Arabidopsis thaliana: one gene and its partner. The protein of the gene in region 2 interacts with the protein of the main gene of each other region in a pairwise test. Each region holds a gene or a part of one and is shown on either strand. Other genes may lie near its edges. The genes, in order: ADS1 and AT3G15780.

The links.
Region 1: the proteins of AT3G15780 (region 2) and ADS1 interact in a protein complementation assay, tested with the Arabidopsis thaliana proteins (one large-scale study listed by BioGRID).

Annotation. Positions count from the first base shown.
Region 1 is NC_003075.7:14,366,678-14,371,729, forward strand, and holds ADS1 (MATE efflux family protein), read left to right. Parts: upstream 1-2,199; 5' UTR 2,200-2,470; coding exon 2,471-4,069; 3' UTR 4,070-4,518; downstream 4,519-5,052.
Region 2 is NC_003074.8:5,339,379-5,343,348, reverse strand, and holds AT3G15780 (uncharacterized protein), read right to left. Parts: upstream 1,994-3,970; 5' UTR 1,916-1,993; coding exon 1,705-1,915; intron 1,141-1,704; coding exon 998-1,140; 3' UTR 792-997; downstream 1-791. Other genes in the region: MBD11 (methyl-CPG-binding domain 11), read right to left, coding at 78-140; AT3G15770 (uncharacterized protein), read right to left, coding at 2,133-2,186, 2,271-2,337, 2,416-2,506, 2,595-2,866, 3,102-3,106.

The DNA of each region.
Region 1 (5,052 bases), on a different chromosome or scaffold from region 2:
TATAGCCGTTTTGGTACTATTGCATTGTCAAGTTTAACTGCTGCGTGATCGTACCTTTTCGAAACCACACCAATACACTATATATTTCTAATTCTATCAATGTGATTACTAATTATATGGTTTAATTATAATACAAGTGACATATTATCTTTAAAACGATTTGTATTTAATGTAAAATTAATTTATCTTAAACGCACAACATTTATTAGAGGGAAAACTATATGTGAAGATATATGAATTATTTTCGAAATGATTATTGGAACGTTTCAAAATGAAAGAATGGAGAATATTTTAAAAATCAGAGGCTTAGTAGGGCGAGGCCCCCTCTATGCCGTGAACGCTCACAGGAGCCTTACTTATTTTATCTCTTTGTTTCAAATCTTATCGACGGAAAATTTCTATAACCCATTTAACAAAAAAAAAAAAAATTATAACCCACAAATGATTGTATAAATAGTTTACAAAACGATAGGTATATATGTAGATATATATAGTACTGTCTATGCTTATATACTTTTACAACCCGGTTTAATATTTATATAATTACCATTTATCTCTTCATAAATTATCATATTAATTTATGTAATAGCAACCCCCAACTGTATTTATAAAAAAAAATAACATTATGCAATCGTCAACATTACTACAAATCTATATATTATTTATAATTAATTCATCTATAAGAAACTTGCTATATGTTTTCATTTAATATTGGTTGGAAGGTTATTTAGTCAAAGAAAAGCCATTAATAGCTGGAGATTTAAACTCCATTGTGAATTACAAACATTTCTTAATATGCAAACCATTACGAAGATGTATCCGGGACTTAAGTTGCTGTTTAAGTCTAATTTGTTCACCGGATGGAGACAAAACATGAAATAACGGCTAAATTAATTGTAAACCATAGTTTTCAAGCTTTGATTAAAGAGTCAAGCGAAACATTAATTTTAGTGTTGGGTCTTTAATTATAAATCACCGATTTGCATTCAAGTTTTGATAAGATATCTAGTTCGACTCTTCGTTCGGTTTTGGTTTAGTAAGTAAACAATGGTAGCGACGCTAAGCATGGTTTGATTCATAACTTCATGTGGTAGGTTATGGCCTTGGACTTTACTTTGGTCGAAAAAATATATCATTTTAATATTTTCGCAAAATAATAATATATGTTTGATTTATTCTAAAATTCAATATAATTTACCAAATACTATATTTAACTATATAACTATTTCAAAAATAGTGTATTTAACAGAGATAAAATTCTATTTGTATAAGAAATTCAGCACAAAATAGTTTAAAACAAAAAGAATTTTACAAGGACATTTTCGTGAATTTTAAACAAACACATTAAAAATAAGAAGAAGACAAATTAAAAAGAAATTCAAAGTTAAGTAAATGCAAACACATTTTTTGTGCCAAATGGTCGTTTAAAAAGGATTCGAGAGTTCACGTGCAATGAACTTGTACTATATATGCTAATCAAAATCTACTTACTTTAAATTATTTAGACGTTACATTGAACTGTCTTTAGATAAAAGATGTACTGTAATATTGGCCTTGTCTATCTTAATTCATAATTTTATTTTAGTATACCTAGATTATTTTTGCTTATCCTTTACTGATTTTACAAAGTATTCAAGACCATAAACACTAGTATAGTAGTATTGAACTAAACTTAACTAGCTTGGATTTGACCAAGATCTATGCAATATATTAAGAACTTGTTATACATATATGTGGGTTAATAAGCCATATATACCTACACTCACAAATCTTGAATATAGATTGTGATACAACAGCAATATTAGTACAAACCATTGGATGCTCTACAATGTTTTGTCTAATTGACCAAAAATAAAATTTAACCTCATATCTTTCAACCACTTTTTTCATAAGATTAAAAAGTTTTGTCATATATTCTTAATTTTTTTCCCTTGACCTAGCTAGTAGGTTTTCTAAAATTTCGGATTTGATACGTATATTCTTATAGTTTGCTAATACGTATCGGATACAGCATCTTTGTGTATGGTCCACCAGTAAATTACATTTGGGTAAGTATTTGATTTTAGTTGATTTTTTTCCAACTTATGTCACAAATCATTCATGTATCAAAAAAGTTGATACATTGTCAATTTACTATTAATGTATTTATCCATATAAAGTGACTTCTAAAAGTATTTTAAATATACAAAAAAAAAGTAGCTTAGATTCTTTTTCATGAAAAAATTTCGAAAAATTAAAAATGAAGAAAAAAAAAATCCTGCCAACTCCTTTATTAAGATGGTAAGAGAGAGCTCTGAGAAGAGAGAAGCAGCACCAAAAAAAATTCATATCTCTCTTTCCTTTCAATTTTCTCAGTTGTTAAAACCTCTCATACTCATTAGAGAGCTCTTCACGAGAGAACTCTTTCTCTTTCCCATTAAAGATCAAATCTTTCTTCTTCTTCATCAACACCATCATCATCATCACCGTCATGTGTAACCCATCAACAACAACAACAACCACCGGTTCAGAGAACCAAGAATCTCGAACCGGACTCTTCCTCGATCTCTTCTCGATCAATAGCTTTGAACCCACAAAGAGAAATCTCCGGCATTGTGAGAACAGAGGATCTCCTCTTATGGCAGAAGCTGTAACAGAGGCGAAATCTCTCTTCACGTTAGCTTTTCCGATCGCCGTGACGGCTCTTGTCCTCTACCTACGCTCAGCCGTATCAATGTTTTTCTTGGGTCAACTTGGTGACCTCGAATTAGCCGCCGGTTCACTCGCCATTGCCTTTGCTAACATAACCGGTTACTCTGTTTTATCCGGTTTAGCTCTTGGTATGGAACCACTCTGTTCTCAAGCCTTCGGTGCTCACCGCTTCAAACTCCTTTCCCTAACCCTCCATCGAACCGTGGTTTTTCTCTTGGTTTGTTGCGTACCGATCTCGGTTCTCTGGTTTAACGTCGGCAAAATATCGGTTTACCTTCACCAAGACCCCGACATCGCGAAATTAGCTCAGACATATCTCATCTTCTCCCTACCTGATCTTCTCACCAACACTCTTCTTCATCCAATCAGAATCTACCTTCGTGCTCAAGGCATCATTCACCCCGTAACCCTAGCTTCTCTCTCCGGCGCTGTTTTTCACCTCCCGGCTAATCTTTTCTTAGTCTCTTACCTCCGTCTTGGTTTAACCGGCGTAGCAGTCGCTTCCTCCATCACAAACATCTTCGTCGTTGCTTTCCTCGTTTGCTACGTCTGGGCGAGTGGTCTTCACGCGCCTACATGGACTGACCCGACCCGTGATTGTTTCCGCGGGTGGGCTCCGTTGCTGCGTCTCGCGGGACCAAGCTGTGTCTCCGTGTGTTTGGAATGGTGGTGGTACGAGATCATGATCGTTTTGTGTGGTTTGCTCGTGAATCCAAGATCGACGGTGGCTGCTATGGGCGTTTTGATCCAGACGACGTCGTTTCTTTATGTTTTCCCGTCTTCTCTTAGCTTTGCTGTCTCAACTAGAGTCGGAAACGAACTTGGAGCCAACCGTCCCAAGACAGCAAAGCTAACGGCTACGGTGGCTATCGTTTTCGCGGCGGTTACAGGGATTATAGCGGCGGCGTTTGCTTACTCAGTCAGAAACGCTTGGGGAAGGATTTTCACCGGAGACAAAGAGATACTCCAGCTAACAGCGGCGGCGTTACCGATATTAGGTCTATGCGAGATCGGAAACTGTCCTCAGACGGTGGGATGCGGCGTCGTGAGAGGAACAGCACGACCGTCAACGGCGGCGAACGTGAACCTTGGAGCGTTTTATCTGGTGGGCATGCCGGTGGCAGTGGGTCTCGGGTTTTGGGCCGGAATTGGGTTTAATGGGCTTTGGGTAGGACTACTTGCGGCGCAGATTAGCTGCGCAGGTCTTATGATGTACGTGGTGGGGACCACAGATTGGGAATCGGAGGCTAAGAAGGCGCAGACGCTAACGTGCGCTGAGACTGTAGAGAATGATATTATTAAGGCGGTGGTGGCGAGTACTATAGACGGTGAGTGCGATGAGGCTGAGCCGTTGATTCGCATCACGGTGCTTTATTAATATTAATTAAGACAAAACAAAACAAAATTATAATCATCATAATTATTCCCATCTCTTTTCCATAGAAGGAGAAAGTTTTGCCTTTCTTTGAGAAATTTAACATTTTCTTCTTTTTTTGTACTTAAAAATTTCTTTTTTTTTATCTCCTTATTTTTTCCGATGCCCTTATGATTGGCCGTTTATATGGAGTATCTATGAGTTTTTTTTTTATAAACTACTACATATGCTAAATACTTGAATAAACTCACATGAATGCAAAAAAATAATCACATGATTTTTTTTTTGCTCACAACTAAACATTTAATTACACCCAATCTGAGACAAAAGATGTTGGGACCATATAGCTGGAGCGACAGAGAATTAATTCAAAATAATTTTTGAAATGTTTTTGTAAGTTAATAAGATAATATGGAGAGAAGAATTCACTGTTGAATTGTAGAGACTTATTATTATTTGAAGGAAAAAATCTTACTAATAAATAGAAAAAAATGGGTGATAAAAAAAGGAAAGAGAGTAATATGGTAATTTGGAAAAAAGTGGCAACCCTGTGGGAAACAAAAACTTGTGTCTCAAAGATTCAGACAGGTCTGAATGAATGTTTTGGATTCCCTATAGACTATAGAGTGCTGTTTTGTTCAGAGATGAGAGAGAGAGTGAGTGAGAGATATCAAGTCCCAAGGACCATTGTATTGCATCATCTCATAAATTATTCCTACATTTTATTTTTATTCTCATCATAAATTATTTTATCCATATAATTCTGCATTTCGATGGGTATGGTTTCTAGTTTATTATTCTTATTATATAAAAAATAAAGTTTTAAAGTTGACGATAAAATATGTTATGTAAACTTCACTATAGATATTTTTTTTCCATTTCATTCTATCATAGTGAAATTTGAGAATGTACATTGTATAAGATCATACACTTTTTTTTTTGTCGACAAAAATCATACACTGAAAAACAATGAAAGTTGTTACAAA
Region 2 (3,970 bases):
AGAAAAAGATTTGGTAATTGCAGCACTACACATATACAACAAATTCTAAGTCTTTGTATGAAACAAAGAAAACAAACCAATTTCTTCCATGAAGAAGGTGCTGGTAGCTCAACAGAAACAACTTCCTCTTCACCACCCATCTCTCTCCTTTCCCTTTAGCAACCCCTGAAAACAAATTAGAAAGATCAACCACAAAATGCCAAGAAAACAAAAACAAAAAATTTAACAATTTACACGAATGAAGCAACAGACAACCTAGGGTTTGATTGTCGGAAAGCAAAACAGAGTTTAAAATTTTAGGGATTTTGCTCTGCTCTTCTTTTTCTCTTTTGCTTAACACTATGGTTTTAGACCTTTTTTTACTACCAGAAACACACAGAGTATATGATAAAGTCACTTGGAGGTAGCACAACAACTTAACTAACAACCCAATTAAGTTTAACCACGTGTCTATATCCAGTGATATAAAATGCGCTCTATCATCTATATTCTATGGTAACAACGACACGTTAAAGCCTTGATCAAAAGGTGTTAAGTCGACTCGGATGTTCGCATTTAATGCAGATTTAGACTTACTTGGTGCTCATGCAATACACGTGCCAAATAGTTAACGACTTTTCTCCATTTTGGGGGAAAAAAACTCTAATGGAGTATTGCTTTGGAGTCCGGTAAAACAGAACGTTACTGTGGTTTAAACTCTTTAAAGCCCATAAATTAGGCCCATTCATGTCTTGAGTCCTATTGCTCAACGACGCCGTTTTTTAAGCATGATCAGATGGAGACTGGGAAAGAATCAGGAATTGAGTACTATATATCACTAGCATTAACCAAGAAGATAACACGATCTTATTGTTTCCTATTATCATCTGAATAAGTGATGTACAAGGAAGATGCTTACTTGGTGAAGTTTATACAGGTAATTTGATCTCTTTGAAGTCTTGATATATATACAGTATAGAGTAGTAGATAATCACCAAAGCCTCTTCATATATGGAAACTACTTGAAACGTGAACCCTTCTTGCCTTTGCCTTTACCCGTCCCATCTGTGACTGTAACCCAGAAGAAGAGAAACATCCAAAAGAACACTGCGAGGAAAATCTTTACGCGGTCTTGAACCCTTGTCACAGCTCCCACAAGACCTTTACAAAGAGAAAAAGAAAACAAGAGTATTCATTTCACTTAGTATCAGTCATGAGTGCAGTTTTTTCTATTTCCAGCCTATCCTTCTATGTTATAAAGGAATCATCACCCAAGCTATTCAACATAACATATGGACTAATTGCAGAACCAATGAACATACAACTACTGCACAATTTTACATCTTAAGAGAAAATTTAGAAAATCCCCACATAAAATGGTAGCCATTTTGAATCATAAGGAGTAAATTCCACAATCCTAATTGCCTAAGCCAAAATCATGTCACAAGATTTGAACTTTGGTTCCATGGACACAACAACTAATTGGATGAAATCATCCTCATGTTTTGGAAGTTTCATGATACAATAACAATCTCAGCACGATTCAATACCAAGTACTAACCTAAAAGACTCCATACTTATATCAAACTATCGGATAAAAATTGAAACTTTCGACCCAAAACACAACAGTTAAAGTGAAAACTGAAAAGCAAGTACAACAAAGACCAACCAAACAAAGTAGGATTCAAAGGACCAAAATATCAATCTGGGCAAGAAGAATCGAACCTTCTAGCTGAGTGGTGTCCTCAGGCGGAGGCGGATCAGGGCCTGGAGGAGAAGGAGGACCACCAGCGACGGCGAGGCGGCGTAAACGGCGGGGACTCGCTAGTAGGACGGTGTTTCGACGGTGAAGGTGATACGGCGGTGAGAACGGCGAGAGAATTGAGTAGTGGTAGAGGTTAGTGCTTGTGGTCGGGTTGGACAAAGCCATCGCCATTTTTCCTCGACGATAAAATTAAGAACTCATTTTTATTTAAGGGGTTTCTGATTCAGACATACACGTGTACGACAATTTAAAAAAAAAACATTTTTGTGGAAATTACTCCAAATCAAGAGAATTTTATAAAATTTGATCCATCAACAAATATTTTTTGTTGGGTGTATATATTTTTCTCAGCTCTCTTTACAATTGTAAATGTGTAAAAAAGAATCTTTTAGCCGTATAGACCTTCTTCTTCCCAAACTTCAACAAGAAACTGCACCATTTCCTGCAATGATAAAACTTTCAATAACAAACAAAATTTGGATGAGAATGGATAGTTACTTCCTCCAGTTCATGGAGTTGAACTTACATCAAGAGGTATAGGCCTCGGAAATCGCTTGTTGCTCCCAAGTAGACTCTCATAAGTCACATTCTCACTGCAAAAACAATCAAACTGTTTATATTCCACACAACAGTTGGACTCTTCGAACCATTAGGTCTTATATAATCCTCACTTTAGAATCGGTTCTCGACCAACGCTTTTACGGCTCTCGGATCTTTTATCTCCCACCCATTGCTGCCGAGTTTGATTCCATAGCACAAGACCTGTAACACCCCAAAAAATTCTCCAATTATTTTTCAAATGCTCAATAAGACCAATCACCAATCATACTCTTCTCACTCACTGACTCACCATGGTTAACAAATTCAGCAGGTTCATTAGAGCTGGAACCACATCCTTGAGAATCAATAGTCAGATTGGTTGTACTGATTGAAGAAACACTTCCGTGAGCATTGCTTTCCATATCTAAAGTGGTATTAGTCCAGAAATCTTCAGAAGCTACTACACTAGGCTTCCTCAATTCACTCCAATCTTCTTCTACTAACACATCTTTTGTGCCATTCAAAGGCACATCTACACTTGTTTTTGCTTTCGACTTATCAAAACAAGCCAAACAACTACTGCTGTGTTACAAAATCATTAAACATATCATTCATTTTGTGTAATAGCTAAACCAAATCATCATCCAAACAAAAACATCATCCTTATATCCAAAAGCTTATTCCTTCAAAGCTCAAATCTTTATGAATACCCAAAGCTAAAAACTTTCGAATTCCAATGGCCCAGATTAAAAAGATAACATTTTTCGCCACAGAATCAAAAACCTTATACAACCTTAAAACGAGTTAACTGACTTACCCCATCGTGGAAAGACAGAGACTTTCTTAGATCATCAAACGAAGAATCGAAAGCAACCCAACAAAACTTATCAATCGATTGGGGAAATGATCAAAGACCCAATCGGAAGAAGAGAAGTAAAAGGAAAGACGATTTCTTTTTTCTCTTTTCTGGGTTTTGCGTGTATCTGGAAGTTTCGGATACTTCATTTCGAAGAAACTTGAAAGAAGAAGTGCCCGACCCCACGTATAGCCCCAAAACGACGACGAGCCATGTGTAGAGAGTGTAGTGGTCGTGTGGAGTTATAAGGCTTTGGACCCTACACTTACCTTATCCACTTTTGACTGCTTTGGCTCCTTTCGACTGTGTTCGGTTTTTTAGATCCTTCCTCGTTTTGCCATAATTGAAGACAATAATGTATATTCGTTCTTATAGGTTAATTTGTTTCTTATAAAGAAAAAACTAATCGGAGGTTAAACCCAAGGGTGATAAAAATTATGTTGATCTTGTAGATTCTACTTTGTTATGTTGTATAAATGTTACATGCTATTATACTAGTGTATTTTTTTTTTTGTAATGGAGAATCTTATACCAATATGGCGATATCCATTGGCATTGAAACAAACATATCCACTAAAATTCTAAATTCGTTTCTTGTAAATAAAATCACAATAAAGTTTGAAAATTCAAAGCGGTATGGTGATAAAAGTTAGGTGGTGTTTTTGGTGGTCATATATGTAATAATTAAAAACTTATGATTACGTGAGCCATAAGCAAATTATAACCCTTTTAAAGAAATGTTAGGACAAGAAATAACTTATTCAAAGAATCGAAATAATTAACTACGTGCAATTTGGACCATTGGTTTGTTATTTGTTCTGTTCATATTG